7 linked regions of the Coturnix japonica genome follow. The protein of the gene in region 4 binds, or shares a complex with, the protein of the main gene of each other region. Links are inferred from orthologs where the notes say so. Each region holds a gene or a part of one and is shown on either strand. Other genes may lie near its edges.

Region 1 (4,584 bases), on a different chromosome or scaffold from region 4:
TCAGTGGGTTTGGGGCCGGCCTGAGCTTTGCATCGTGGTGCAGAACTGCTCTGCAGCTCCAGCAGCTCACTGTGCTGTGCTCCTCCTGGGTGTGCACAGGGACATCGGTGCTGCAGGGCATTGCATTCTGCTCGGTCAGCTGGATCAGAGGGAAGAAGAAAGGTAGGAAGGGATGGAAGATGAGGGAAGGGTGGCAGCAATAGCAGCGGGTTGGCCCTCAGGTGTGTGGTTTTGGGGTGAGGCAATAATGCAAGGTGTAGGCTTCATATTCCTGCAATGCAATGTGGCTCCCAGCAGGTTCCAGTTTGCAGGGCTGTGCTGTTGGGGCACAGAACCATTGCTGCTCCCCATGGACCGGCTGCTCTCACTGCTCAGGGTGGGCTCGGATAATCTGCCCTCCTAATTGCCACCCAGTGAGGAGGCAGCTGCTGAGCCAGCCCTTAAGCTGATTTGGGATGGCAAATTCTGTTAGTTTAATTCTCAGCAATGCTGAGGAACGTGCCAGCACGTGAGCATCACTTGGCTTGTCTCTGGCAACCTGAGCCAGCTGGTGAGGGCATGCAGTGCTCAGAGCTGGGACAGGTTGGGTTTGTAAGGGGGTATTTAACTGACCATTCCTTGAGCTCCTGTGTTTGCAGCCCCAACTTTGCTATTCCTTTTTAATGCTCCTTTCCAGAGCTGTGGAGCATTCACTGCCTGGTCTTGGTAACCCAGGCCTTAATAACACACAGGTTAAAGGTGAGCAATGATGAAGAATGCATTTCTGAAAGGATTCCTTTTGCAGTTCCTTCTGTGTTTGCCTTTGAACATAAAGGAAGTTTCCTGCCCCCCTGCCTTGCTGTGATTTCTCATCTCGCTCCATATTAAGCTTTGCTTGCAGTTGATGAGATCACTGCCCGTATTCCTTCGCCTGTCAAGCTCCTTGGAAGAGCTAAGTGCACAAAGGAGATGAAAAAGAAGCTGCTTATGAATTATGAAGAGCCTTTCAAGCTGCTGTTATTTCACGGGGCCGTCGCTCCGTTTTAATTGAGTAATTCAAATGGGGGCAAAAAACAACCAACCCCATCCCAACCTGTTTGTGTTTGATCACCTGTCGGAGGGAACACGAGGCTGGCTCATGTTTGTTGAGCTTTCAAGTAACACAAGCCACCCTTGCAGGTGGAATAATGGGGAAGGAAGGAGCTGAGCAGGAGCTGGGATGCAGCTGCTCCCCTTGTGCTTGCTTGGGGTGTGCAGCAGAGCGTGCAAACACAGCCTGCATCTCTCCAAGCACTGCAGAAATGCATGGCCCATAATGGCCACCAGCAGGTCTGTCAATCCATGGTTTATATGGGGAATTTTAGCCCATGTGAATGGAAGCATCAGTTCCCAGCTCTGTGATCCCAGGGGCTGTGGGGAACAGCCCTGAATCCATGCAGAGCTGGCAGGGTGAGCTGATGCTGGGGCTGCTGGGGGTGGGGGGATGCACACAGCATGCAGGACAGCTCAGCCCCTGGCACCAGAAGCCTTTTGGTTTTGCTCCTTTGTGATGTCATCTGTCACACAGGACAGAAGGCTGAGTGCCACCCAAGCACAGCTGTGTGGTCCCCAGCATCTGCTTTCCTCCTCTCAGCCAACCCAGGCTGCTATCAATAGGGTACGTTGTTTTCAGCCCTGGTTTTTATTCACCTGTCATTGCGGGGAAACGTCACATCAAGGCAGGAAGAGTTTGAGCTGCCAGGCTTCATTTGGGACATCAGCATTCCCAGCTGGAGGGCACAGTGTGTGGCCATAGCAGCAGGATGAGAGCTGTGCAGTGCCATTGTGATGGATGGTGATACATCCTGATGCTGCTGGTGGCCCTGCAGGGACTTTGGCATCAGATCCTGCTGGCTTTGACTCTGGGTTTGACTCTTAGGGGGCACCTTTAGGCTGAGGGACCTGACTGGGTTGTGTGTATGGAGTTAATGGTGCTGGTGGGCTGAGCTCGGATATCTGTGCCCCCATGGGAAGCCTGGGGCTGTTAATGGGGCTTGAGGGGCTGTTAACACCACAGTGGGCTGTTGCTGCTTAGATAGGGCCCCTGTTTGGTGGGGATAGTCCTGCTGGAAGGGGATAAGGCTCTTGGTAGGGCTGTGTGCTTTATCTCCTGCATGGTGCCCTGCTGACGTTGAGCTCTGCAGCTCTCCTTGTTGAGTTACTCATTCCCAACCCATTGCTTTGAGGCTGTTCTTACGGCCTTTTGGAACATCTTTTCCCTTTCACGGGAGGGATTTCCTCCTCCTCCACTTGAGAAGCAGAAGGTTTGTCATCTCAGATGTTGTTTGTAACTCATAGACGTGCAGTTTTCAACCCCCCTTAGAATAAGAAGCGCTTTGTGGATGAGCCCTTTGGTTTTGCTTCCTGGTTGCAGCAGGACGGATCCGAGCCACAACTATGTGCATCCCCCTCATGTTCTGATCCTGCTTTTAGCTGATGTGGGGGAGAATGGACTCCAGCATCCATCAGAGAGGCATAAAACGCCTTTATAGTGTTGAATATGACTGCGTGATGATACAGCCTGTGTATTTCCAACCCAGCTGGGAGAGCTTTGCAGCTAAGAGATAATGGTGCTGCTGGCTCACTTGGCCTCACCCTCTGGACTGCTTGGTGTCGTTTGTTTACCTCTCTGTTGTGCTGAAGCTTTATCAGCCCTGTTGTAATGCTTTTGCATCCCAGCCCTTGCAGGGAGAGCCTGCTTCCATCCTGCTGCCCTGCAGGCACAGCACGAAGCCATCCAGCCCCATTGGGAGATGCTGCTGCTCCCCAAAGTCCCTCTGTCCAAACAGTTGTGTGTCCTGCAGCTCTCAGGGGGCATCTGGGTGATTTAATCCTCGGCTCTTTGTGGCTTTAGGTGATGCTTTTTTCCTTGTAACCTAACGGGCAGCTCTTATCTCTGCAAAATTAATTAGGAGCCCATCCCCGCTCCTTCAGCTCCAGCCATGCATGGAGCTCAATGGGAGCAGGGCTGTCTGTGCCCAGCTGTGAGCAGAACAGCATTAAAGGATTTTTTTGCAGCTCATAGAGAGACAGTGAGACCGACGGGTTCCCTAAGAAGCAGCCAAACGTTTCCTGGTGTCAGAAAGCAGCAGTGAGAGCCAGCACTGCAGGCAGGCGGCTCCATGGCCTTTGCTGAATCACTGCTGGCTGCTGCCGTGCCAGGGCTGCACAGATGCTGAAATGCTGAGCTCGGAGGAGAAGTGGGACGTCTTGAGCTGAGCTGAGCTGAACCCTGTCCACAGAACGGGCAGATGAGCCCCAGGCTGGGAATGTGAGCTGGATGTGGAGCCAGGAGTCAGTGCTGGATGGTGGCCCAGGAAATTCTTGTCCAGAGGCAGGAAAGCACTAAATGTGACTTTCAAAGAGAGGTGCTGAGAGCTCCATTCCAAACACTGGGGCGGGGGGGGGGCAGGAGAGGAGGACGTGAGCATCATTGGAACCCAGCAGTGGGATGAGTGGATGGTCTGCATCTGGGTCAGCACACACAAAGGTGTGTGGGTGCTCAGTGAGCTGGGCTGGGAGGGCTGTCCTTGTCCAAGCTTTGTGGCTGTCAAAGGCAGCAGTGAAGTTGTACATTCATCTTCCTAAGGCTTAAAGAAGCTGGGCAGGAGCTCTGCTTACTGCCATTGGAGCTTCTCTTGCTCGGTTCCATATATCCTGTTTATTTCTTGCCAGCAAACAAAACCACGTGTGTTTGCTTCCTTGCTTGCAGTGACCCGAGCCTCACTGCTGCATCCATTTGCTCCTGACGGTCATGGCAAGCACACGATTACACTAATAGCCTGTTATTAATCACTGCCAGTGGCTGTAATTACATCAGCTATTAGGAAGTCAACTAAAATCCATGTCTGTCCAATCAGAAGGACAGGCATGGTGCCTGCAGCTTGTGTTTGTTGTTGGGTTCTCTTCCTTTAAGCACTTTTAAAAGCCCCCTGAGGTCCTGGTTTGGTGTGTTAGCACTTTGCACTGCTCAATGAGTGCGGGTGGAATGTGCTCCTGGTGAATGTGGGGGCACAGGATGCTCTGGGGAGTGTTTGAGCACAGCTATGTGAAACCCAATGGGCATCTGTGTATCCTGAGCATCCCTGCACACTGTGATGTGAAACCCAATGGGCATCTGTGTATCCTGAGCATCCCTGCACACTGTGATGTGATTTGGGGTCTCATCAAGGAAAGGAGATAAAGCAGCTCCCTTCTTGCTGTGGCTGAGGAGGCAGCGTGCATTTGTTGGCTCATTGCTGGCCAGAGGATGCTCCTGGGATGGAGCTGAGGTGGTTTGGAGCACACCAACAAGGCTCCAGGCTTTGCAATCATTGCTTTTGTTTCCTTCTTCAGGTAACTTGGCTGCAAGATGGCAGAACCACACCAGGATGTCACCAACGTGGAGGACCAGGAGAGGCAGCACGTCCCTTCAGGTGAGCACATCCACAAGGAGATGGTGCAGAGGACAAGAGTGAGCCATGCAGGGGGAGCAGAGCCCTGGGGGCAGCCAGGAGGAGATGGGGTGTGTGTGTGTGTGTGTATATGGAAGGCTCCTGCACAGCAGCTGGCTGCAGGCAATAAGCA
Region 2 (4,333 bases), on a different chromosome or scaffold from region 4:
CCAGGTACTGATAGCAGTGTCCTAGTGACAGCATCACCTGTGTCACTCAGTTCAATGGAAACACATGGACTTTCAGGTCTGTAGGTGTTATTTCTGACATCAAGGAAGGGTAAGTTCTGGTGCCTTTTAAGATCTTCCCCTGGAGTTCTCTAGGGCACGAACTGTGGAGGGGTACATGACAGGTACACGAAGGTTGTATCATCACATCAGCATGCAAACTGAGATTGCATAGGAAATCTATCTTATGTCTGTAACATAAGCCATGCTGTGGCTTTAACCGTGTTCGAAATGTGATTTCCTAAGTTTTGTAAAAGCCTCCTAGAAAGAGAATTCCATTAAGGGAAACCACGTTGACTCCGATTTCTTCCTCACTTCTCCCAGTGCAGCTATTTCTAAATCACTCCTAAGCTTTTTCAGCTATGCTGAATATTAGATGGCATACGGTTGAGCAGAATAAAATGATCGATATTGTAATGGACTTCTCATCCTAGTACATGGAAGGAATAATAAATGTCGTGATATATGACAGCCCTTCTTAAGCCCCATGGAGCCAAACGAGATGCAGTAAGCATATATCTCCTACTTGCTACCCCTGTTTTTGCTTCCCTGCGTCTGTCCTTTGTTTCCTCCCGCATTTATTTCCTCGGTAATGGATGGGTGTAATTGAATTAAAAGTGACTCGGTCTGAAGAGGAACGTTCTGGGGCTGCACTGCTTCCCTTTGACAGGGAATCACATTTGACAGAATCACAGAATGACCCGGGTTGGAAGGGACCTCAAGGATCATGTAGTTCCAACCCCCCTGCCTGGCAGGGCCACCAAACATACACCTTTACTAGATCAGGTTGCCCATGGCTCCGTCCAACCTGGTCTTGAACACCTCCAAGGACGGGGCATCCATAGCCTCCCTGGGCAGCCTGTTCCAGGGCCTCACCACTCTCCTAGTAAAGAACTTCCCCCTAGACTTCTCCTGTCTTTCCATACCCATCTGGCTTTGTGACCAGCTTAAAGGAACCGAATTTGCTTGGCATCCATCTCATGGTGGGCAGCAAATGCAATGGTGGGTCAGGTGTTGCTCTTGTCTTGCATCCATGTGGAGCAGCACACACTTTATCTTTATCCCCTTTAACTTAAAAATGCCTTTTAGCAAGCTCAGATTTGACACTGCAATGGATGCAGCTCGTGGTCCATGCAGCCCTAATAAATTAATCCTCATTCACACCACATTTGTGGTGTTTTAGCAGTCCCAGCACAAAGCACTGCATTTGTACATCTCGGTAACGGGATTTGCTAACGGGATTTGGTAACGGGACCGGTTGGTACTGTTAGAACATGTACACAGGGATGAGGAGCACGAAGGACACGTTGGAAATGAATGGGGTGACATCACATCCCACACACCGCCTCCATTTTGTATCCGCCCCGTTTACATCACCCACAACCACAATCACGACCCTCCTCCACGGCCGAGGATCTCGCGAGAACACGCGGGCTATATATAGGAGGGGGGCGGGCGCGGGGCTTCCTTTAGTGCTTGTCCGCCCGCCGCGCCGCATCGTGCACAGATCCAGCCGAGAGAGCAGGCCGAGAACATGGAGGACAGCGCTATGGACATGGAGAGCATGGGGCCGCTGCGCCCGCAGACCTTCCTCTTCGGTAACGGGATCGGCTCCCCACGCTGTGCTGGGGGCTGTAGGGCGCGGTGGAGGCGGTTGGTTGGGCCTTGGGCCTGAGGGGGCTCCCGTTGGGCCGCATTGGAGTGGGAGGAGGCGGAGGAGGCCGCGGGGCAGCGCTGAGCGTTGGGCCGCTCCGGTTCCGCTCCGGTTCCGATCCGGTTCCGCTCCGTATGTGGTGGCGATGCGGCCCTTTTGTTCCTCAGACCCTGAGCACGTGGAGCGGCGTGCGGGGACCTGCGGCCATTGCAGCACACATGGAGTATGTGGGGGGGGGGGGGGTGAGATGCGGCCTGCACCGGGAGGGGAGCGGCCTGCAGAGCGGCCGCGTGGTCGGCCGTAGGTCTGGGCCTAACACAGCACGTGTCCTAAACGTGGATGTGTCCTAAACGTTGGGGCTATGGAGTAACGGGGGAGGTTGGCCATGAGGCTCATCGTTCTCTGTCGTCTGCTCACTCTTCATTACAGGCTGTGAGCTTAAAGCGGAGAAGGAGTATCAGTTCAAAGTAGATGATGAAGAGAACGAGCATCAGTTGTCCTTGAGAACGGTAAGTAGCTTTTGTTTTCCTACTTTTCGAGTTCTGAGGTGGGGTTTTCAAGTAGTGCTGCGTGGTTGCTGTGAGAAGGCCAATGTGGTGTGTAAACTCACTGCATTGAACTGATTTATCTTTAAATAAGTACCGATGTTTTGTGGGCTATTACAAGTAATACAAGCTTGAGAATATGGTAACCTATGTCCAGTGAGTTAATAAATGTTTATTGGAAGGAATCGAGAGTTGGAGCTGACATTGAGTGCAATATTCAGTTGTTCCAGGAGCACGAGGAGGGGAAGACTTAGATTAATCATAGAGGGCACATTGCAGCAGAGCACAGGAACTTTACTTTGAAATGGATCTTTCATATACTCCCCAGTTGTAATTTCTGGGCTTTTTTCCCCACAAACTGCTAATAATGTGTGGACTTGGATCTTTTTGGGGCCTGTGGCATTGAGCAGGGCACAGTATTTTGGGGCCTTGGCTCAAGGCTGAGCATGCTTGTGTTGTTTTCCTCATCACTAATACAAGGTGATGCAACTTAACTTGCAATGAGTTTGTAGCTCCCAGCCAAGGAAGTCGTGGTGCCTCTGCATTTTCACTTATATTTAAACATGAAGGTTACACCTTAATGTAAAAGAAAAAATTAAGCTAGAAGTGAGAATTGCTCCTTGCAGGAGATTTGGATGTTAATGTTGTTCAATGCACAGCCTTATCAGAACGATACTTAGGATGCTTTCACTTCAACATTAGTTGTGTGAGTCACGTCTTCACCCTTTTGTTTCACGGATATTACAGTCTGGACTTGACAACGAGCAATTTAGACACAATTGTCGGCCCTTTAGAGTTTGTTTTGAGGGAAGTTCTTTGAGAAGGTTGATGCAGGTGGTTCTCATACCTGTATGGCTGTAACAAAGTAAGAATTGTCACATGGTGATACTTCAGTTGTGTGGATTTGTCTAAAGATTCTCACTTTAGAAGTGAGCTGTAGCATCTCCTGATGGACTGGGGGGGTCTTCATTGAGCATGGAGCAGATTCTATGCTTAGCAGAATGTAGTTTTAGGCCATTTTTTCCCATGTGGGGAAAAAAAGTCTTATTCAGCAGCATGATTTTTAAACTAAAAAGATGACCAAAAAGAATGATGGGGATTGAAATAACAGGTTAGTAATGTCTTAAGCTTGGCATCTCTTAAAAGAATCTACAAGGAAGAGATGGCTTATTAAGCAGGGTAAGGAGGTTCTGGAAGATAAAGCATGACTCTTGTAAACACTGTGTCTGTGCTCAGGATGAAAGTATAAATGAATAAAGGTAGACACGTGTAATTTAAGTCTCTGGCTGAATTTGTGCTGGGGAGGGAGGGGAAGGGAGGACAAAGAAGGATGAAAATGAAAGGGGAGGAGCACTGATGTGTGTAGAGGTAGAAAGTTGTATGAGGGTTAACTTACATCTTTAGGCTCACTTAGCTAGTGGAGTGGTTGCTGCCTCCTTCCCCTTATTGTTTAGTCTAACTTTGGTGTAGAAGGCAAGACATGTAAATGGATGCCTGCCAGCCACTCAGTAAAGAAATGTATCTTAGTTACTATAATATTGGTTGAACTGGTATAGATGGCAGGGGTAGGTAGCTGTGGGCAGGGAGGACATGCTTTAAAATGAAATTCTCATCCTAGTGGGCAGTCCCACCAGCTGATTGTAGTGCGGATCCATTTGAGAGGTGAGATCAGAGCACCAATATCACTGCTTCTAATTCACATGATAAAACATTGCCTCATGTAGTGGAGCCTACATCCTGTTTCTTAGTCTTCATTTGATGTGCTTTGCCTAGATTGTGATCACTTGCTTAAAACACATGTCATAGGGAATGGAAGCTTGAGCATGCCACTGTCTTTGTGAAGTGCTTACACACTTAATTCATGAAGAGTGAGAAGCTTTCTTCTCATGGCTGTTGGGAAGGGATGCAGTAAGCCATGTTTGCTTGCCTCAGAGATAATTGTAGTACTTGAGGAAGTTCTTGGTTTTCAGAGGACTTGCATATAACTCTGACTCAGATGCCAGAGGTTCAGAAAACTGGAATTTCTGGCCTGGTTTATGTCTGTCACTTGTTTGCTACCTTCAAGCTACAATTTTCA
Region 3 (3,801 bases), on a different chromosome or scaffold from region 4:
ACAAGTTTAGTCTGCCAAATGGGATCTAAAAACACAAGATCTCAGGATGGGTAGCTTTACTCCCACTCCAGCAGAAGTGCAAAGAATTACTGGAGGAAAACAAACAAGACTCCACTGCGATATCCGGAAGAGCTGCTGTGGAGATCTGTCACCAGGGGAGGTGGTGATAGTCAAAGCACTGTATTCATTGGATAAGACAAGTGATGGTATCTGAAAGCTCAGAGGCAGAAGCTAACATCATCTGCTTGCATAGGAAGCCATGTGACAGTTTAATAATCAAGAGACAGTCTACATGATGGTCCCTCATTTCCCAATGCTACAAGATTTCCAAAACAAATTATTTCACATTTTGAGGTGGGTATTACACAAATGTCTCCTTGAAGCTGTGCTCAAACTTCAGGAAAGGATAACAACAGGTAACAACTTCTAGTGCACTTCCTATGAACTCCACTGATTCATCAAAATCCATTTACTGTAGTAGGAACCTGTGGCACTGCATCTTATTAATGTATTACCATAGTTTTTACTGTTTCACTGTAGTTCTCCCAGAATAGCTCTTGTTTAACTGGCACTTTCAAGACATACGTTCAGTAGTGGGATTCTTGTTCTCTTGCATCAGCTTACACAGAATCTGGTACTCCATTTCACAATGAAGTACTAGGACAGTTTTTATTGATTTTAATTAAACTGCAGGTACGTGTTCCAAGACCACAGAATCAACAGAAGTTATGCAGAAACAGGGGAATAAATAGTCTTTGTCCGTTCTTTATAAGGGACAGATGAGTTAAGAAAACATTTCTATTTTAAGCATATTTAAAAAGGAAGGGAGGGGAGATGGGGGGGGAGAAGCTGGGTGTTACTTTCTTTTTCCCTGTGCTGTGGTGAATGCAAAATTTCCCAATCAGTGAAATTCACTTCCCTTAATTTTGAAAAACATTTCTAACTTCCTCATTCTTTTTATGATAGTAAAGGGAAAGCAACGCATGTTCTCTTCAAAGACCACATTAATTCAGGTACTGCATAGAACCAAAGACAGTTCATACAGTACATCTATCCCAGGTAATTACTCCTCCTGTGTGACCATAGACTTGGGCTGTCATTTTATTTTGAGTAACAGACATAAGAAAGCAAGAATACTAAAGGAAGTACTGTGACATGTTTACTTGTTTTATTTTTAAAAATATTATAAATAGATTTACTTACTCAGGGAAAAAATAATAATTAAACAGTCCATGATTTAATACCATATAAACCAGACTCATACAAAATAAATTAACATTTCAGAGAATACTTTTATGGCAAAGTAAAAAATGCTTCAAAAGTGGACAAAACTCTTTTCGGACTCCAAACTTTGAACATAAAGACGATAAATCTGTTTGGTTGCATTCTGTTTAGTTCTATTTTTCTGCAAAACTGGTCCGAAGAGTGAAGTTACAACCACTTATTTCTTAGCTGTCTGATTAGCATTATTCTAGTATACTGAAGTTTTATAAAGGGTTTAAAAATAGCAAGCTTTCATTCAGCAAATCTTCAAATGAGGTGCTTGGATTAATGTCCACTCTACTTGTAAGGAGCAATATACAACTCATAGGTTTATTTCAAAAAAGAATCCAAAAGTTTAGCAGATGACTGTTGAGCAAACCCAGAATTCCCAGCTTCCTCTCAAATAATGTGGAACTCTAAGACAAGTTTATTTTTTTCAGTCCAGATTTTGAATTATAATTAATAGCTAAGAGGCAGGAGGAGAACTGAAGCCATGATGGCAGCAGAGAAGCAAGAATCAAGAAGATCGGTTGCAAGGCTAATAAGCCATTTTAAAGCATTGCATCAAATTAAAACATTATATACTGTGTGAAAGAAAAGCTTTTCAAAAGCACTTATATGTATCTGATCGAGTTTGAAGACCAGATCTTGGGGTAGAATACAGCAAAAGCTAGAAGAGTGAAACGTGAGCATTCAGGTAATGAAACATATTGTTTATACCGAGGATAAAAGGATTAGGATAAAAGAAAAAACAAGATACTATAATTGCTGTTGATAAAGAGGATGGATGAAATACTCCTTTCATATCAGGGAGATTTTACACATGGTACAAAGAGACATGGTTTAATGATGGGAATAGATCATAATGACAGTTGGACTGGATGATCTTGAAGTTCTTTTCCAGCCTAGACAGTCTATGATTCTATTGGTGACTATGCCAACCCTAATAAGATTTCACAACTAAAAACTTGGTGATGACTTTCAGCCTATGTTTTTATAGAGCTGCTGTTGCACACAGAGCCAGAAATCACAAAAATATTTAGCAGCTTTTCATATTAGGGAGAAACTGGTATAGGGAGTATATCTAGGCTCAGTGCACATGCTTGTTAAGCATGACAAACCCAGGCTTGATTTCAAAACAGAATTTCTCTAGTTAACAACATGCCATGCTAATCTCTGCAAGCTCACTCTTCAATCTTCAGCTCTAAATTACATAATTCATTGGAAAAAGGCTGAAGTTACCTATATATAGACAAGAAACTACAGAAAGATTAAAAGGTACCTCTGTGGCCTCAACAATCAAAGTTCGAGTGAAAAAGATTCATCCATGCAAACATACAGAAATAAAGTGAAGTTACAGCAGCTCATCTGATGTGCAATGATTTGCTGCTTTGCCAGCTCTTACAAAACCCACAGCACTCTATGTATTTCACTCATTCTCCTCCCTCTTCTGAAAATAAGTAAATAAATAAAAAAGTCCCTTCAACAAGAGACGGCACATGTAGGAGACTCCAACTAACAAACTGTTATTATGGCACACATAGCTCCGTTCGTAAAAATTAGCTGATACACATGTTGGAACCAGACAAGAATTGCACACAATTTGACTGAGCAGAGATGAATTTTCTGACATTTTTGTCATTTCCATTTAGCAACTACACCCTTACTCTATATGTAATAAATGAGACAAAAAGCTGGCAATTTTAAGAACTGTATTCATTTTGCAAAGTAAACTTACTTAAGAACGATGGTCTTTCATCTGGGTTTTGTGCCCATCCACTCTCTATCAATCTTATGACAAGAGCTCGATGCGGAATGTCCATTGATAAGCTTTTTTCACTTAAGTCTAGTCGCTGTCCTTGTGACACACTATACATTATCTGCAAGGGGTTTATAACTTCTGTCAAAATAGACATCGTGCTTTCATTAGAAATATATGCAAAATAAATAGCTCACTGTAGGAAGAATAATTAAGATTGCAGTCGTAATATTTACATTTCACCAAAATAAGGCTTTCCTCTTTTAAAAGAATTCAAATACATTTTTTTCTTATCAATATTATAATTTGAAAAAGAGTCAAATCTGAGAAGTAACTCAATTACTTCTTGAACAGGTTCACAAATAGGATTATCATGAAGCAATCCCTGAAATGAAGTTCTGAGGAATCCAGGTCACTGGAACAGCCTACACCTAAAGCTAGAAAAATAAATTACAAGAAAACATGGCCTTACCTTCAAATGGGTGTTTCCTTGACATCACTTCCCATATAATAATTGCAAAACTGTTTAAAGTGTAAAAAGTATAGAAGACATTATTTTAGATTACCAACACTTACTGAAATAATATAGAATCATAGAATTGCACAGGTTGAAAAAGACCTTCAAGTTCATCACGTCGAACCACAGCCTAACCATACTATCCTAACTCTAACAACCCTCTTCTAAATCATGTCCCCTGAACACCACAAGCAAATGGTTTTTAAGCACATTCAGTGATGGTGACTCAACCACCTTCCTGGGGAGCCTATTCCAGTGCTTA
Region 4 (3,460 bases):
ACATCCCCCTGTCTGCACGGAGCCCCAGTAATGGGGTTTGGGACACTGTGGGTTGCGTGGTTTGGGTGGGGACACCATGGGGATGGAGATATCATGGAGGTGGGGACATCAAGATGGGGATGGGGACATTGTAGGGATGGGGACATCATAGGGATGGGAAGACCATAAGGGTGGAAACATAATGAGGATAGGGACACTATGAGGATGGGGACACTATGGAATGGGGACACCATGGGGATGGAAACCCTACGGGGATGGAAATACTATGGGGGTGGGGACACCATAGGAACATCTTGGGGATGAGGACAGTACAAGAATGGGAAAACCAAAGGGATGGAGACACCATGGGAATGGGGACATACAATTGCAGGGCTGGAGACCTGGGACATACTCTCCCTATGGAAAACCCACCTAGAAAGCCCATTCTGAGACCCGTCCCTGAGGTCTGGGGCTGGCTGAGTACCCCCACACCCCATGGCGGGGCTGGGAGGGGCTGCAGGCAGCCAGACCTGCACTTTGGAGGCCCCGAGTGCTCCCCAGCATGGCGTGGCACGCAATGGGACCGGCTGTGGGAGCTGCAGGAGCTGCCTGGGCTTGTGCACGACAGGAGAGATGAGGCGACCACAGAGGCAGACGTGCACGAGATGGTTTATTGGAGCCACACAGAGGCTTCGGCAATTCGCAATCCTCCATCCGGGTGGGGGGCACATCAACCCCCCCCCTCCCCTTTCTCCCCATCCCGTCCCATCACCTCCTCCCATTGCCCCCAAGGGACCAGCGGCACGGCTCTAGCCCCCCAAGACAGAGGGCTAGGGCCCCCCCTAAGCTACGCTGGGGTATCCCCCAAACAAAGTGTTAAAGGGGTGAGGGGAGCATGACAAGAACATGGGGGGGGGGAGAAGGAAAGGGGAGGCCCTGCCAAAGGGCAAACATATGGACCCCACTCCCAGAACTGGAGGGGGGGTAAGGGTGGGGGGGCGAAATACCTTCCCCACTCCTTAAAAAAGGAACAAAACAAAAGGAAAAGACACCGAAGGGCTTCGGGAAGGGGAAGGGGAAAGGGGGGGGAGTCTGGGAGGGAGGGGAGGAGGAAGGAGGTGGGGGATGGACCCCAGCTGCATTGGGGGCCGTTCAGTTCTTGGGCTCTTCGCCAGCCTCGCCGCCGTCTTCACCCGCGCACTCGGCTGTCCATAGCGTCAGGTTGTCCCTGAGCAGCTGCATGATGAGGGTGCTGTCCTTGTAGGAGTCTTCGCTGAGCGTGTGCAGGTCCCCCATGGCCTCGTCGAAGGTGGTCTTGGCCAGCGAGATGGCCTGCTCGGGGGCGTTGGCGATCTCGTAGTGGAAGACGGAGAAGTTGAGGGCCAGCCCCAGGCGGATGGGGTTCGTGGGCTGCATCTCCTTTTTGCTGATGTCCATGGCCTCTTGGTACGCCTTCTGGGCGCTGTCGATCGTCTCCTTGCGGTCGTTGCCGGAGGCCACCTCAGCCAGGTATCGGTAATAGTCTCCCTTCATCTTCAGGTAGAACACTTTGCTCTCTGCATCTCCGGCCTTCTTGATGAGGTGCTTCTCCAGCAAGCCCAGCACCACGTTGCAGACGCCCTTCAGCTCCTCTTCCACCTTCTCCCTGTATTCATTCACCAGCTGCGCTTTGTCGTCTCCCTCCTCGGTTTTGTGCTCGATGCTGGAGATGACCCTCCACGCCGAGCGCTGGCAGCCCACCACGTTCTTATAGGCGACGGAGAGGAGGTTGCGCTCCTCGTTGGACAGCTCGTCTCCATGCTCCACCACCGCCTTCATGAAGTCCGCCATGTCCTCATAGCGCTCAGCCTGCTCGGCCAGCTTGGCTTTCTGCACTTGGTGGTTTCTTGCCATGGCTGAGGGCGGATGAGGAGCAGGATGAGACGAGGAGTGGGGCCGGGAGCCGTCGGAGCCTCTGCTGAGCTTCACCGCCCCGATTCGCTTTTGGCTGAGCGTCGGAGCCCCGAGCAAGAGCAGGAGGAGCCAACGAGGCTGAAGGAGCGGCCTCCTCCTCCTCTGCTTCCTCCCCGCAGAGCCCGCCCTTAAAAAGCAAATTGCCGTGAGTCATCATGCCCCGAGGCACAGGGTGATGGGGAAGGGGTGAGCGGGTGGCACCCACCCTGCCCTGGATCAGGTGGGTGCCGGGAGGGAGAGGATGTGTTCAGGGAGTTCATGGTGAGCCCCCCCTGTGTCAATGGGATGTCCCACTGGATCAATGGAGAAGTCTGGATCAATGGGACATCCTATGTCAGTGGGAGACTCTGAAACAATGGAGGAGGGAAGATCAACTGGGGACCCCGGATCAATGGGAAACCCCAAATGAATGGGAGACCTAGAATCAGTGGGGACTCCAGATCAGTGGGGGAGCCTGAACCAGTGGGAGAGCCTGGATCAATGGGATACCCAGACCCACGGGAGACCTGGAATCAGTGGGATCCCGAAATCAATGGGAAACCCCAAATACTTGGAAGACTTGGGATCAGTCAATGGGATCCCCAGATCAATGGGGGACCCTGAGTTAATGGGGGAAACCGGATCAATGGGGGACCCCAAATAAATGGGAGACCAGGAATCAATGGAGATCCCAGATCAATGGGGGACCATGGACCAATGGGGGAACCCTTCCCCATCTGCCAGGAGTGCTCAGAACAGGGAGCAGTGGGGTCGTCACATTGGGGTGAAGCAGGAAAGCGGCAGCACCCAGTGCCCCCATCCCAACCACCCTTAGAGAAACAGCACGGGGAATAAACCTGGCTGTAAAAATGGTCTCCTCCCCAAAAATCCCATCGCTGTCATTTTTATATGATGATTAACTTGTCGGTGATTGCAAGGGCTTGAAGGGCTGGTATTTATTCCCACTGGTGGGGAAATCGAGGCAGGAGGAGCAGCACGTTACCCCAGCACTGCTGCAGGGATCAGGGCCAGGATTGGGATTGGGGCATTCCCAACTCCTCCACCCTGCCTGCTCAGGGGGAATTGCCCTGGCACTTGCAAGTACTCAACCCCAACCCCCCCATTGAACCATCATTGGACATCCCCAAACCCAAGGCAGCTCCACACCCACAAACCCCACTGGATCCCCATTAAGGCTTCTCCACCACCCATCCCCATGTCCCCCACCCTCTCCGCTCATCCCACCGGGGCTCTTTTCTCTCCCTTTACGCTGTACTGGAAGAATTGGGATTATTATTCCTTCTTTTTTGTCAGTCTCATTTTGATTCGAGTTCTGCCCAGCAGCGCTGGCGGCCCCGATTAGGATCTGAGCTCGGCGTTGCGCTGCAGTTTCGCTCTCAGCCTGTTCCCACACGCCGGCACAGGGCAGGGTGCGGCGGGCAGCACGTGGGGATGGAGCCAAGGGCTTCACCAGCGCTGTGCCAGCACCCTCAGCCCCATCCCTGACATCCTCTCCCCATTGGGGTTGCTCAGGGCTGGCAGCTCTTGG
Region 5 (3,801 bases), on a different chromosome or scaffold from region 4:
GAGGCATTCAAGGCCAGGCTGGATGTGGCTCTGGGCAGCTGGTCCAGTGACCCTGCACTTAGCATGGGGGCTGAAACTAGAAGATCTTTGTGGTCCTTTTCAACCCAGGCCATTCTATGATTCTCTTCAGTGTCTTACACGCAGTTGTCACATACTGGTAACAGATGGCTGATGTCTACCAATTACAAGTTATATGCTTATGGAATGTGCTTGTTCTGGTTAAATGTGTACCCTAGACTTGAGAAGGGAAGGTTTTAGAAACTCAGTCTGAAAAGGATGACTGCCTCAGTGTCCTGATGCTACCCTGTGGTGTCTGACTAGGGTCAAGAATGGCCTCACTGTATCAGTGTTGGAGGCTGAGGTGTGCAGCATAGCCCTGCTCTTGCTGGCGTAACGAAGCCCAAGAGCACAGAAGTCTTGTCTGAACTGTTCATGTGTTGTGTTCATCTCAATACACTCTATTCCACTTCTGATACTGAGCTTTTAGTTAATAATCAGATTTCTAATTTCTGTGCAGTCTGCCTCGACTGACTTGTGCAGGGCCTGGACGTTCCCCTCGCACCCATGCAATTATTATATAATTACCATGCAATTATTATATAATTACCTCAAAATAAAGGTTTGAAGCATAAATTATAGCTAATGTGATGGCTGTGAAGGGTTTTGAGAAAGTTATGGTTGGTAGTGGAAATCTCGTGATCATTTTTGAGGACTGTCAGGTCCTCTGGGGATACCTGATAGTGGCCTATCAGTGTTCTAAAGCGGGGCTATAAGAAGGGACAGTCTCTATAGAGGAGGGTGTCTGTTGCAATAGAACAAGGGGAAATGGTTTCAAACTAGAACAGGGAAGGTTTAGGCTGGATATAAGGAAAAAGTTTTTTATTATAAGGGTGGTGAGGCACTGGAATAGATTGCCCAGAGAGGTGGTGAATGTCCCATCCCTGGAGGCATTCAAGGTCAGGCTGGACAGGGTTCTCATCAACCCGATATAGCTGTAGGTGTCCCTGTTCATTGCAGGGAAGATGGACTAGATGACCTTTAAAGGGTTCCTTTCAACTTGAGCAATTGTGTGACTAGCTTCTACATGTAGAAAACAGCAAAACATCAATATGCTGTGATGTGATTCACTTCACAATTGTTTTTCAGTCACAGATGCATTTAAAATCAGTTAGCAGTTAGTTAACAGCCTGTAGCTGAGTAGACAGTAATGAAATGTTTATTGCAGACAACTATTGTAGACATAGAAAGCATGTCATTTGCAAGATGATAGGAAATGCTTGTGTATGTTTTAGGCTCATGCTGAATTAAGACAGGTTACACTTCTGAACTGAATAAATCTGCAGAATGGTTGCTATAAAAAATAAATCACAAAAAGAATCACTCATTTTCATGGTATTTCAATTATTTTCTTTTTTAGACATTATTTTTCTTCAAGGAACAGAAGTCATATTTAAAGTAGCACTGAGTCTACTTAGCAGTCAAGAGACAGCTATAATGGGATGTGAGAGTTTTGAGAATATTGTTGATTTTCTTAAAACCACTATTCCAGACATGACTCAACCTCAAATGGAAAAGATTATTACCCAGGTAAAGTTGTTTTTCTCTCTACTTCTTTTTCAATTTAGTATCCTTCTAGAAGTCTGTGCCTAAGGAGGGCCTACAGAGTATGTAGAAGTATTCTCAGGATGTCCCTTTTGGTGTGAAATGCAATGGATTCATTTTCCTAGTAACGTGTAGAAATAGGACATCAGGAAGTGCTTCTTTACCACATGTGTGATGGAGCACTGGTTCAGACTGCCCCCTAGACACTGTGGAATCTCCTTGGAGGTCTTCAAAAACTGCCTGGATGTGGACTTGGGCACCCTGCTCAAAATGGCCCTGATGAAGCAAGGTTTGGGCTAGATAGCCTCAGGAGATACCTTCTAACCTCAGCCCTTCTATGATTGTGTGATGTAGTTTTCAGTGGGTTTTAAACTGTGATTTTTAGAAAGACTTTAGTTTCTACATTATAGTTAGTACTAAAAATACAAAAGAGGTTTATGTTTTCCTATCCAAGCTATTGAGAAAATATGACTTTGGTTATACATTTCATCATCAGCTGTGCAAAAGCAACGTCACTGCAAAATGGTGGCAAAAGCTGTGAATGGAAGATAAACAAAGAATTACTGGTGCTGGTGTAGGGGAAAGTGCCTAATTTGTTTTGAAGTACTGTCAGTGCTTAGGATCTTCATCTCTCTATATCTTCTTTCTTTGCAATGAAGATGCAAATTTGTGTGCCCCGGTGGCGCAGGTGGTAGGAATGCCGCGTTGCAACACCGGAGGCCCTGGGTTCGAATCCCCCCTGTGGCGCAAGTGGTAAAAGTGCCAGTCTGCTACACAGGAGGCTCGAATCCTGGTGGTTGGACTCGATGATCTCTAAGGTCCCTTCCAACCCGCATAAGACTATGATACTATGATGAAGTTGAACGTGAATCTCAGTCTACTACCTGAGCTGGGAATGAGTGAGCAGTTTTCCATCTTCTTGTGGCAACTAGAGATAACAGAAGAGCTCTAGAAAACCATCTCTCCATGCAGGAGTTCAGTTAATACTGGTACATTCCTGTGGCTCAGGTAACACTGGAATGATTCAAGTGCTGTCAGTTAAGTCACTTGTTAATGCCATTTAAATCTTCACTTCCTCTTTATATTGACTGTGATAGCAATGCTGAACCCATGTCAGGCACTTCAGTGTCTTATCTTCGCACCTCAGTAATTTTTCCAGTGGCAGAGATGGTAGTTCAATCTTTTTTGATACTGTGGAAAATAAATCTCTGTCCTGCTGTCTGTGTGCATTTGCTGAGCAACCTTGCTATGATGAGAATGGTAGAAATGGTTTTGTGCAGAGCAGAGCCATATCTGATCAAGTAAATATCAGTGTGTGTTACCTGAGTGGAAATGGGTGTGTTTATACATGGGTCAACGTAGCTCTGAGATGAAGGTCACTTGCCTGCCTGTGGTGTGGTCCCATGCTGGTCAGCCTTCTGGATCTGCATTCATGTGCCCACTGCTTGCATCATATCACTCTTACTGGGCTGCTGCAGATGAAATCGTTTGTCTGTCTTAATGTAGTCATTCTCAGGACCGTTGTTATTGCAGATAATGAAAGAAAAATGCAGGATAATGAAAGTTATGCAGGTCTATAATGCACTGATAGAGTTGACTGAGTAGTTGGCAGAGGAAAATGGCATTTACCTAGAATGAATGTTTTTATGTTCTGTCTCATTTTAAATAACCTGAAGAGTAGTGAATGTAGAGCAAAACATGTTGGGGGATTCTTGTCTCTTCTGCTTGTGAAATGTTTGTGGCTTCTGTAATAAGGAACAAAATTGATATCACAGTAGTCATCCTTCCCAGTATAAAGTATCTGTTAATTTTCAGAAGCTGAGATGCTGTGATTAGGTATACAAACAGTAAGGGGTAATATGACCCTGATGGTTGTCTTGGATCACCCTTTTGTCTTTAATTATATATATATTTATGTATGTCTTCAACTTAGCACTCCTGCACAAAAGATGATAAGATTTGATAGCAAGACGTGATATTTGGCAACACTGTAGTGACTAGATTTATTCTGAAGTCTATATGCTAAAATATTCTTGCTTTAAAAGTAGTTTATTTTTGAAAGGTATAAGAAAGAAAATAGAATAATCAAAGTTTTCTCTTAGACAAACTTTCAAATGGAATAAACATGCTGTCTTTCTGACGTAGCTAAAAACTCTTTTATCTCATGGCAGGTATTTGAGATGGATATTTCAAAACAGC
Region 6 (4,290 bases), on a different chromosome or scaffold from region 4:
AACAAGTGCCCTCCAGATTCCTTTCCATAAAAATCAAAAGAATTAATCCGGCGATGTAGCAAATAGGGGTGAATTTGTGAGACCGTAGAGGCATTCCAATTTCCTACAAGGGATCTGAGGTGGAGGATCACCCCACCTCCCACCCCTTCAGCCCAGCACAGAGAGGAGGGCTGTGAAGGTGGCCCGCAGGCATCTGCTGTGAGCAGCACTTACCACCGTGGTGCGAGGAAAAAAGTAAAAACACGGGGGACCCACGTAAAGGGACAATACATCTTTAAGGAATAAAAAGCCTACACTGCTTCTCTTCATTTCTTTGCTTGCTAGATGGCGAAAGCAAGTCTCCATCGGTCGCCCTCTTCCACTCCCCCCCCCCTTCCCAAAACGTTTATGTGCTACATAAGGTAAAAACTATATACACAGGTAGTACAATGAAGCAAATAAGGAAACACCTAATTGCACAATGCTACATCCGATGCTTTTAGAGGCAGGTCTTTTTTTAAGAGTGTCTAAACTTTTAGTGTTATTGTCTGCTTTTTTTTGTTTGTTTTGCTGAAGTTGTTTTTCAGTGCTTGCACAGGGTCCCCATCCCATGGAGACCGACGATATGTATTCATCTCTACTACGACTTTTTTTTTGTTTGTTTGTTTGTTTATCTTCCTGGCTTCACCGCCCCCCGATGAGCAAGGAAACACGAGTCCTCCGCCCTGCAACGGGAAGAAGACGGGGAGAAGACATTAGAGAGGCTGAAAGCGACGCGCTCCCTTCAACGGGCTCGTACCGCTCCCCGCAGCAGGGAAGGCCCGGCCCGGTCACGGCCCGTGCGTCGTCCCAGCCCCGCGGCACTCTAAGCCCGGCCGCCCCAGGGCCGTCGGCCGCCTCCGCTCGGAGCCCGTGGGGCCGGGCCGCCACCGGGCCGCGGAGCTGCCCCCGCCCCGAAGGAGCGGGCGGTGGTGCGCTATTTGCATAGAGGCGAGGGCTGACGCCTAACCCTAACCCCCCCACCCCCCACAGCAGGAGTAATTTGTTGCAACTTCTGCTTTGCAGCTTAATCTCTTCGGCACAATCGCGAACCGCGTTCGCAAACCTTCCCGCTAAACCCCGGCCCCGAAACCGCCGGCGCGATGTACCACCTCCCTCCGCCCCAGCCCTCGCGCTGAAACAAAACAACAACAAGAACACCACACACGGCTGCCATTAACCCGCTCCCTTCCCTGGAAACTCAGCCAGCGCCTGAAACTAAAACCACAACGACCGGGGAGGAGAAAAATAAAAAAAAAAAGAGAAAAACAACACAAAACCGGAGCACAAGCTCTCCTCTCTCAGCCCAAGAGGCTCCCGCTCAGCCCCGCTTTTATCCAGAGCCCTCCTGGGCCGGAGCTCCCTGCCACGGTGGGACAGTGCGAACGGCGCCGAGGCGGGGCAGCCCCCCAGCACCACGACGCCGCGTGAAGCCCGGTCCCGAGCTCGGGGCGGACACCCCCGAGGCATCCTAATGCCCAGAGCCCGAAGGGAACCTACTCGGGGAGTTTACGTTTGATGTCGTCTCGGGCTCGATTTCTTGGGCGTTTGCTCCACTGAACTGGCACTGGGGGAGTCTTCTGAAACCTCCTCTTCTGTTGTGTTGGCTCTTTTATTTTGAGGAGAGGAATCTAGGAGGGGAAAATTAAAAAACAGGGGGGGGGGAGAAGACCGGTTTAAAACGCTGTCCCGCAAGGTGCTCGCTCGGCACCCGGGGGCGGGAGGAGAGACGGGGCCGGGGCTTATTCCCGCACGTCCCCGCATCCCTACGTCAGCTACCGGGCTACGCGAAGGTGGGCGCGGACGGGCTTTTCTCTGGGCAAAGAGACGCGCGTTTTAGTTTCGCCCCGACTCCGGCGCTCGGAGCGTCCCCTCTTCTCCTCCGCAGAGGGGCTGCCCGAGGGGCGCCACTCGGTCCCGCCGCTCACCCGCGGTCCCCGCCGAGCGCGGAGCTCCGGGCGCTCGCGGGCGGCACCGGGGGCGTTCGGGCGGGAGGAGGCGGGGGCCGGGCCCGGCGCTGCCCGCGGGGTACGTTACCGTCGGCGGCGGGTCTTTTCCTCTGCCCGGCGCACTGCTCTGCAAAGTCCGTCTGACCGCCAGCAACACTGGTCTTCCCGCCTGCACAGTGGGTATCCTCTGAGATTCCCTGAGAAGAGGCGCAAATTGCTGTTTGGCAATTCTTGTTTTCATCCAGGCTCTGACAGACGATGGACTTGCATATGGCTTTGGGTAGCCTCAGTGGTCTGAAGGACAAGTCGGGCGAGCTCCCCTTCTCCACGGCTTGCCACTCGTACCTGCCTTCCAGCGGCTTGTGGTTCTGGAAATCGAAATTCCACTTCCTCTGGCATGCCTCTTCCATTTCCTTGCGGTGCTTCTTCAAGTCCCTGTTTAACTCTTCGTGGTTTATCGGCCCGAAGAGGTTCCTGCAGGCCGACGGCTTCGGGTACTCCGACTGTCGCGCCTCCATGCGCTCCAGGGTAGGGCTCCCATTAGAAATGCGGACGTTTGACATCTCCCCCTCCCTTTCTGCCGTCGCCGATGGCGCTGGGCTTTCTCGCGGCTCTCCCCGCTCTTCCTCTCCGCTCCTTACCCGCGGCCGCTCGCAGGTTCTCCTCCGCGGTCTGTCTCCGTACGGCCCCCTCTCTGCGGCCCCGCCTCGGCCCGCGGAGGAGAGGCGGCGGCGCGCAATTGCATAAGCGCCGGGCCGGCCGAACCCCGACAGCCGCCGCCGCCGGGCAGCCCGGGCGGCTCCGGAGGGGAGCGGCCGAGCGGGGAGCGGCGCTGCCCTCCGCGGCCCCGGGGGCGGCCTCGCGCTGCCGTCGGCACGGCCCCACCGCTGCCCGCACGGCCCCGCCGCTCTCCCCACGGCCACGTCGTACGGGCGGAGAGGGAAAAAAAACAAGGCGAGACGAGCCCTTTTCTCAGTTGCCCAATATGGCGATTGAAGGGAGGTTGACGAAGGAGAAAATGATTGACAGGACGAGTCTATTTAAACAGCGGAGCCGAGCCATTGGTTACGGCGGCCGGCACCGCCCCGTCGGCACGGCCATACCTCGCCGCCGCCGCCGGCTCTAAAGGTGGCCCTGGCCGCCGGCCGCCCCTCGGCGGGCGGGCAGAGCGTGGGGGGCACGGCACGGCTCCGCTCCGCGCACGTGAGCCCGCCTCCCCCTGCGGAACATAAGCCTGGTGAAAGTCACGCGAGTCGAGGGGACTAGCTGCATTTTGACTCGTTGTGGCTATCGCTCTGCTTGCACAGGGTTGGGCGGGCTGGGAGCTGCGCTCCGGCTGAGGCGGGGGAGAGGGTCACTGCCCAGCATCCTCGTAGTGCTGCCCGCAGGAGGAAAGGGAGAAAGCGAGGGGTGGCTTCTGCTGCACTGCCGGCAAGGAGGGCCCAGGTGTGGAAGGAGCTGTAAGAATTCTCAGCAGGGAGCTGTATTCTCAGTAAGCAGGGGAAAGAGAATGAAAACCTTCAAGTTTGTGTGTTTTGAAAGGTTAGTTGAGCCAGGAGTCATGGGCAGGGATTTTTGAGCTGTTTTTCTGATTGCTGCAGCAGGTCCGCTGGAGTTAAGAGCAGTGCAGGGTTCTCCTCTGGGCTCTCCTTGTTCACACTCACTCACACTACAGTCAGCATCTCTTGCTCAGCAGGACAGCCCCACACACTGCAGGATCTTTTCAGACACTGGAGGTTTGGGACTTCCCCAGGGCCCAGGTAACCTGGATACTACAGACCCCACATACCAAAGTGTCTGGCCTGGCACCCTCCACAAAGTCCAGCTGTCCAAAATCTTGTGGCCTTAAAGCTTTGGAGCTTTTGCCCCATCTGTACTCAGACACACACTTTGCTTCAGGCCTTGCAGTTGCAGTGGGCCACCAAAACCTACCCTGTAGTTGGTGCGTTTTGAACTGGAGCCTCACCTGTGCAGGCACTGGAAAGGGAACAAGATCAGCATTTAATGCTTATCCCCAGAGTATGGTTGTCTGTGGGCCTCCTTCCCTAAGGCAGCAGCCCCCTGCCTTGCTCAGCCTTCTGTCCTGGGTCAGCCTCTTGTCAGCACCGAGTTCAAAAAGGGATGTGAGCATCCAAAGAGAAAAATAAAAACACTTAAAAAACACAAGGTTGAAATAAAATGTCAGCCCTGCTATTTTTGTTTGCCAGAACTTTTACCACAAGTTGTTTTCCAGCTCCTTTCAGCAACCACAGGATCTACCCATTCACAGAGACTTGAAGCTGACATCCTGATGTCTGCATCTTTAGGTGTTTGCTGTTGGGAT
Region 7 (4,409 bases), on a different chromosome or scaffold from region 4:
CGGATGGGAAGTTCTGCAGTGTAATTTCTGCATGGCTCCAGCAGAACCCTGGTGGAGGCTGCTCAGCTCAGGTCTGCACCCAGCTCCCTTCCCTGCCATGAGGCAGGCAGGAGGAGATTCATTTGATAATTAAGTTCCCCCTGCCAATTTACATCAAAAAGGGGAAACCCTTTCAAGAAGCTTGCAAAACTTTCAAAACCCCATAACCTATAAAAGAAAAAGTTGCCTGGCTTTCCTAAACCTGCCCAAAATCACCGGTGGCTGTCCCAGACCTTGAGATGAATAATGAGAAAAAGGCCAGGAATGGTATGGCTGGGCTGGAAACCAGGACCAGCTGTTTTTGGGAACCCACGTGCCCTCTCTGATCTTCCTCCCTCTTTCATCTCTGGGTTTTCTCCCAGGGCCTCTTGCAGAGAGACATCATCCCACGGGAAAGTGGCTGGAGCACATCTCGGGCAGTTAGTCAGCCAGGCCAGCAATTGCTGCAAGAGAAGAAAAATTCTTAATGGGAATCCCCCACATCTGAGTAGCAGCAGAGAAATTCACCAGGGAAAAGTTCGGCATCACTAAACCCACACTGACTTTAATCCTTATGAGAGGCTGCATTCAGCCAGCTTTCATTGCAAGCAGATGGGAGGGCACCAGTACAAAGCAGAGAGGAAAAAATTAAAATGGACATGGAATAAGGATGCTGACAGGATATAACACTTTTTAAGGGGGAAAAGGGGGTTTTTTGTTTGATTGGTTTTTGTTTTGTTTTTTTAATCTGCACAAACGTTCTGAAGGGTTCTGTAGAGTCCGTGGCAAGAACTGTGTGCAAAGAGTGGAACAGGACTTTCCTGCCTATTCCATCCCATGCCACTGAGACAGATTAAAATCTTCCACAGCAGAGAGGTGAGTTGTTACGAAGGCTGATGCCATACCTGCAGGCCTGCAGCCAGTATGACAGTTTAACACAAGTCAAGCACAAGACTGTATGAATCTCTCTAAACATATATATATATATATATTATCATTGTGACACCCTCAAGGCTTTGGGACATGGGGTCAGCGCAGACAAGCTCCTCTCTGCAGCCCTGCAGGGAAGTGTGTTGCTTCCCTCCCCCAGGACTGGTGCAGGACAGGCAGCCCCATAGGACAGGTGTGGGTGCTGCTGGGACAGCACGGGCACGAGGACAGAACACGTGTAGCAGGGTGGACTCAGCGTACCGACGGGAGCCTCTGCATCCACCCGTCTGGACAGTGACTGGCTTTACCGCGTCACTTCGCCACCAGCCGGCCGAAATATGCCCCCGGTCCGACGCAGGTCAGACGAGCGCTGGTTAATGCCTCCTCGGGGAGGCCCTCTCCCCGATCCGGGCGGGGAAGCCCCGGGCGGGCCGCGGTGCAGGGCAGCGGGCCGGGCGCCGCAGGGAAGTACCGCAGGCACCGCGTTACTCAGCGGGACGGCGAGTACTTCCCCCTCCCCCCCGCAGGCACGGCAGGGAATTCCGCCGGGCTGGGCCGGGCCGCGCTGCTTTGGGCCGGCCCCGTTCCTCCCCGGCCCGCCCCTGGCGCCGAGCAGGACCGGGCTCGCCCGAGTGGCTGGAAATTCCCGCGGCGGCGGCTCCTCCCCCGCAGAAATCCCCTCGCCGGGCTGTATAGGCGCCGCCGCCGCCGCCGCCGCCGCCGCTCACTCGCGGATGCCCGTCCGTGTCGGAACGCCGCCACCAGCAGCAGCAGCCGCGGCGCCGCGCCGCCCCTCCAGCCCCGCCGCCATGCTCAGCGCCCACCGCCCCGCAGAGCCGCCCGCCGTGGAGGGCTGCGAGCCGCCCCGCAAGGAGCGGCAGGGCGGGCCGATGCCTCCCGACGACCGCCACGACAGCGGGCTGGATTCCATGAAGGAGGAGGAGTACAGGCAGCTGGTGCGGGAGCTGGAGGACATCCGCCTGCAGCCCCGCGAGCCGCCCGCCCGGCCGCACGCCTGGGCCCAGCAGCTCACCGAGGACGGCGACACGTAAGTCGGGGCCGCGGGAGGCCGGGCCGGGGCGCGACGGCGGCGGGGAGGCGCCGGGCGGGGAGCGGAGCGGAGCGCGGAAAGTCCCTGGAGCGGAGCCAGGAAGAGGCGGCTCCGCGGTGCGGAAAGCCCCGGCTTTCGAAACCCGCACATGACTGCGGCCGTGAGCCGGGGGCCGCGTCAGCCGCGTCCCGCTGGGGGGATTTGGGTCTCACGTGGGGCGCTTCCTTTTTTCCTCGGTGCAGTTTCCTCCACTTGGCGATCATTCACGAAGAGAAGTCCCTGAGCTTGGAGGTGATCCGACAGGCCGGTGGCGACGGCGCCTTCCTGAACTTCCAGAACAACCTCAGCCAGGTACGCTGCGCCCCCGGGCCGGGCCGCCCCCGCAAAAGGCCCGCGGGGAATTCCCGAGGAGAAGTTTCTGTGTAATTGAATGGATGTGAAGTCGGAGCCCACGTTGGGGAAAGCACCTGGCTCACTCCATGCGGTGGGGGTGCAGCGCTTTGTCCTGCTGCAGCCTCTCGCGTTTTTCATACGCGATGCAATGGATCGCATTCCTCTCCATTGGGATGTTAATGATGCCCTTCCATATGGATAGAATATGTGATATCTGGAGAGCCCCAAGTCTACCATACCATACCATAGCTACCAGACTACAGAGCAGCAGTGTGCTGTGCCAGGAAGCGCTAAGAACTGACTTGCAGTACTTGCATTTGGGCAGAAGTCCTCAATAGCCACTGCAGGGTTTGTGTATTTGAACCTTTGCTAAACTTGTCACATAACTCAAAGCCGTGTGTTCCCTCCTGCCTGCAGACTCCTCTCCACCTGGCGGTGATCACTGACCAGCCTGAGATCGCCGAGCACCTGCTGAAGGCTGGCTGTGACCTGGATGTCAGGGACTTCCGTGGGAACACCCCGCTCCACATTGCCTGCCAGCAGGGCTCGCTCCGCTGTGTCAGCGTCCTCACACAGCACTGCCAGCCCCACCACCTCCTCGCCGTCCTGCAGGCCACCAATTACAATGGTACGTGTGCTCTGCCCTAGCAGAGATCTCAAGAGAAGTATCTTCTTCCCATTGGAGTGCTGAGGAGGGCCCAAAGCAAAGAAGCATCTGACTTCCTTAAGATGTTGTGGGTTCAGCCTTGCGGGCCTCCTCGCTCATGGTCATTGGCTCTCATGGGCCTTAAATTTAGTATTTTTAGTGAGTGCTTCTGCAGTACTCATAGCAGTTATGTTTTTGTGGGTTGTTTTTTTTTTTTTTTTTTAGAGGGTAAAGTTGTTACAGTAAGGCACAGTTAAAACCTAGAATAGATCCCCTAAGAAATCCAACCCAATCCAAAATCCAACCCAGTTATCCCTGTTATCAGGAAGCTGGAAAGCTGTTTTGAAAAACATGGTTTTGCCCCGGTTGATTTACTAACTTAGATACTCTTCTGTCTTATCATCTTGACTTTAAACAAGTTATGGGGCATTAGGTAAGACTTACTCAAATTTTGCCTTTGTTTTTATCTTCCAGGACATACATGTCTCCATTTGGCATCTATTCAAGGATACCTGGCTGTTGTTGAGTACCTGCTGTCCTTAGGAGCAGATGTAAATGCTCAGGTATGTAATTTATGCTATGAATTTAAGTGAGCTGTCTAGTCGGAAGAATCAACAGGTGTGACAGTGCTAAGCCTCACTCCCCTAATGCAATACCTCATGTTGTATCCAAACAGGAGCCATGCAATGGGAGAACAGCACTACACTTGGCCGTAGACCTGCAGAACTCAGACCTGGTGTCACTTCTGGTGAAACACGGGGCAGATGTGAACAAAGTGACCTACCAAGGCTACTCCCCATACCAGCTTACATGGGGACGAGACAACTCCAGCATACAGGAGCAGCTGAAGCTGCTGACCACAGCTGACCTGCAGATACTGCCCGAAAGTGAGGACGAGGAGAGCAGTGAATCAGAGCCAGAGTTCACAGAAGATGAAGTAAGTCCTGTTTGCTTCTTTTCAAGAGAAGAGTCACATCCTGCTCTTTGTTGTTTGGCTGGTACTGCAGTGAATGACCTCTTCCCTATGTAACTTTTGGGGGTTACAGCCCATGAAGTAAGGTTGTACTGCCAGCCATCAGAGGGGTGGCAGTTAGGGCAGGGTGGCAGTTAGGGCAAGGTTATAAACAGAATGAGCTTAGGAGTGAAATATAAATAATACAGTGGGTAACAGAGGGTAGCTTCACACTGTATTATTTCTCTGAGCTGATGCCTACAGAACTTAATGAGATAAAATAGTTAATGGGTGGGTTTGGTCTTCCCAGCATTTGTTTTTGTGATGGTTAAATAGCAAATGTAACCATTTCAGTGTAGAAGTTGCAGACGTACTGGAGTTAGGGCATGCAGAATTTGGCTGTTGTCCCAGAGTAGATG

The links.
Region 1: the proteins of SFN (region 4) and MAPT are in contact, whole or in part, in a crystal structure (PDB 4FL5), measured with the Homo sapiens proteins. The link is inferred for Coturnix japonica from reciprocal best matches to the Homo sapiens genes SFN and MAPT. Residues at the interface, in NP_006133.1 of Homo sapiens: Asn42, Ser45, Val46, Lys49, Arg56, Arg60, Phe119, Lys122, Arg129, Tyr130, Glu133, Gly171, Leu174, Asn175, Val178, Tyr181, Glu182, Ile183, Ile219, Leu222, Asn226, Leu229, Trp230; in NP_058519.3 of Homo sapiens: Arg528, Thr529, Pro530, Ser531, Leu532, Pro533, Thr534, Pro535.
Region 2: the proteins of SFN (region 4) and NPM1 are in contact, whole or in part, in a crystal structure (PDB 7OBG), measured with the Homo sapiens proteins. The link is inferred for Coturnix japonica from reciprocal best matches to the Homo sapiens genes SFN and NPM1. Residues at the interface, in NP_006133.1 of Homo sapiens: Lys49, Arg56, Arg60, Lys122, Asp126, Arg129, Tyr130, Glu133, Gly171, Leu174, Asn175, Val178, Glu182, Ile219, Leu222, Asp225, Asn226, Leu229, Trp230; in NP_001341935.1 of Homo sapiens: Trp288, Gln289, Trp290, Arg291, Lys292, Ser293, Leu294.
Region 3: the proteins of SFN (region 4) and RIPK2 are in contact, whole or in part, in a crystal structure (PDB 7OBS), measured with the Homo sapiens proteins. The link is inferred for Coturnix japonica from reciprocal best matches to the Homo sapiens genes SFN and RIPK2. Residues at the interface, in NP_006133.1 of Homo sapiens: Lys49, Arg56, Arg60, Lys122, Asp126, Arg129, Tyr130, Pro167, Gly171, Leu174, Asn175, Val178, Tyr181, Glu182, Ile219, Leu222, Asp225, Asn226, Leu229, Trp230; in NP_003812.1 of Homo sapiens: Leu535, Gln536, Asn537, Lys538, Ser539, Met540.
Region 5: the proteins of SFN (region 4) and TBC1D4 are in contact, whole or in part, in a crystal structure (PDB 7NIX), measured with the Homo sapiens proteins. The link is inferred for Coturnix japonica from reciprocal best matches to the Homo sapiens genes SFN and TBC1D4. Residues at the interface, in NP_006133.1 of Homo sapiens: Asn42, Ser45, Val46, Lys49, Arg56, Arg60, Phe119, Lys122, Arg129, Tyr130, Glu133, Gly171, Leu174, Asn175, Val178, Tyr181, Glu182, Leu218, Ile219, Leu222, Asp225, Asn226, Leu229, Trp230; in NP_055647.2 of Homo sapiens: Arg637, Arg638, Arg639, Ala640, His641, Thr642, Phe643, Ser644, His645, Pro647.
Region 6: the proteins of SFN (region 4) and CDKN1B are in contact, whole or in part, in a crystal structure (PDB 7ORG), measured with the Homo sapiens proteins. The link is inferred for Coturnix japonica from reciprocal best matches to the Homo sapiens genes SFN and CDKN1B. Residues at the interface, in NP_006133.1 of Homo sapiens: Lys49, Arg56, Arg60, Arg129, Tyr130, Glu133, Leu174, Asn175, Val178, Glu182, Leu222, Asp225, Asn226, Leu229, Trp230; in NP_004055.1 of Homo sapiens: Arg194, Arg195, Arg196, Gln197, Thr198.
Region 7: the proteins of SFN (region 4) and NFKBIA are in contact, whole or in part, in a crystal structure (PDB 6Y1J), measured with the Homo sapiens proteins. The link is inferred for Coturnix japonica from reciprocal best matches to the Homo sapiens genes SFN and NFKBIA. Residues at the interface, in NP_006133.1 of Homo sapiens: Glu14, Cys38, Asn42, Val46, Lys49, Asn50, Gly53, Gly54, Arg56, Lys122, Arg129, Tyr130, Pro167, Gly171, Leu172, Leu174, Asn175, Val178, Leu218, Leu222, Asn226; in NP_065390.1 of Homo sapiens: Gly62, Ser63, Glu64, Pro65, Trp66, Lys67, Gln68.

The regions. Positions count from the first base shown.
Region 1 is NC_029542.1:2,390,597-2,395,180, reverse strand, and holds the start of MAPT (microtubule-associated protein tau), read left to right. Parts: upstream 1-1,551; 5' UTR 1,552-1,636; intron 1,637-4,353; 5' UTR 4,354-4,369; coding exon 4,370-4,433; intron 4,434-4,584. UniProt on the Homo sapiens protein: Promotes microtubule assembly and stability, and might be involved in the establishment and maintenance of neuronal polarity.
Region 2 is NC_029528.1:13,570,422-13,574,754, forward strand, and holds the start of NPM1 (nucleophosmin), read left to right. Parts: upstream 1-1,505; 5' UTR 1,506-1,591; coding exon 1,592-1,655; intron 1,656-2,140; coding exon 2,141-2,220; intron 2,221-4,333. UniProt on the Homo sapiens protein: Involved in diverse cellular processes such as ribosome biogenesis, centrosome duplication, protein chaperoning, histone assembly, cell proliferation, and regulation of tumor suppressors p53/TP53 and ARF.
Region 3 is NC_029517.1:112,519,190-112,522,990, reverse strand, and holds part of RIPK2 (receptor-interacting serine/threonine-protein kinase 2), read right to left. Parts: intron 3,545-3,801; coding exon 3,495-3,544; intron 3,164-3,494; coding exon 3,002-3,163; intron 1-3,001.
Region 4 is NC_029538.1:1,605,167-1,608,626, reverse strand, and holds SFN (14-3-3 protein sigma), read right to left. Parts: upstream 2,026-3,460; 5' UTR 1,873-2,025; coding exon 1,132-1,872; 3' UTR 633-1,131; downstream 1-632. UniProt on the Homo sapiens protein: Adapter protein implicated in the regulation of a large spectrum of both general and specialized signaling pathways. Binds to a large number of partners, usually by recognition of a phosphoserine or phosphothreonine motif.
Region 5 is NC_029516.1:139,163,646-139,167,446, forward strand, and holds part of TBC1D4 (TBC1 domain family member 4), read left to right. Parts: intron 1-1,417; coding exon 1,418-1,587; intron 1,588-3,773; coding exon 3,774-3,801.
Region 6 is NC_029516.1:66,307,625-66,311,914, reverse strand, and holds the start of CDKN1B (cyclin-dependent kinase inhibitor 1B), read right to left. Parts: upstream 3,056-4,290; 5' UTR 2,531-3,055; coding exon 2,056-2,530; intron 1,650-2,055; coding exon 1,528-1,649; 3' UTR 1,519-1,527; intron 705-1,518; 3' UTR 1-704. UniProt on the Homo sapiens protein: Important regulator of cell cycle progression. Inhibits the kinase activity of CDK2 bound to cyclin A, but has little inhibitory activity on CDK2 bound to SPDYA. Involved in G1 arrest. Potent inhibitor of cyclin E- and cyclin A-CDK2 complexes.
Region 7 is NC_029520.1:32,789,786-32,794,194, reverse strand, and holds the start of NFKBIA (NF-kappa-B inhibitor alpha), read left to right. Parts: upstream 1-1,577; 5' UTR 1,578-1,682; coding exon 1,683-1,996; intron 1,997-2,241; coding exon 2,242-2,350; intron 2,351-2,809; coding exon 2,810-3,020; intron 3,021-3,512; coding exon 3,513-3,601; intron 3,602-3,714; coding exon 3,715-3,975; intron 3,976-4,409. UniProt on the Homo sapiens protein: Inhibits the activity of dimeric NF-kappa-B/REL complexes by trapping REL (RELA/p65 and NFKB1/p50) dimers in the cytoplasm by masking their nuclear localization signals.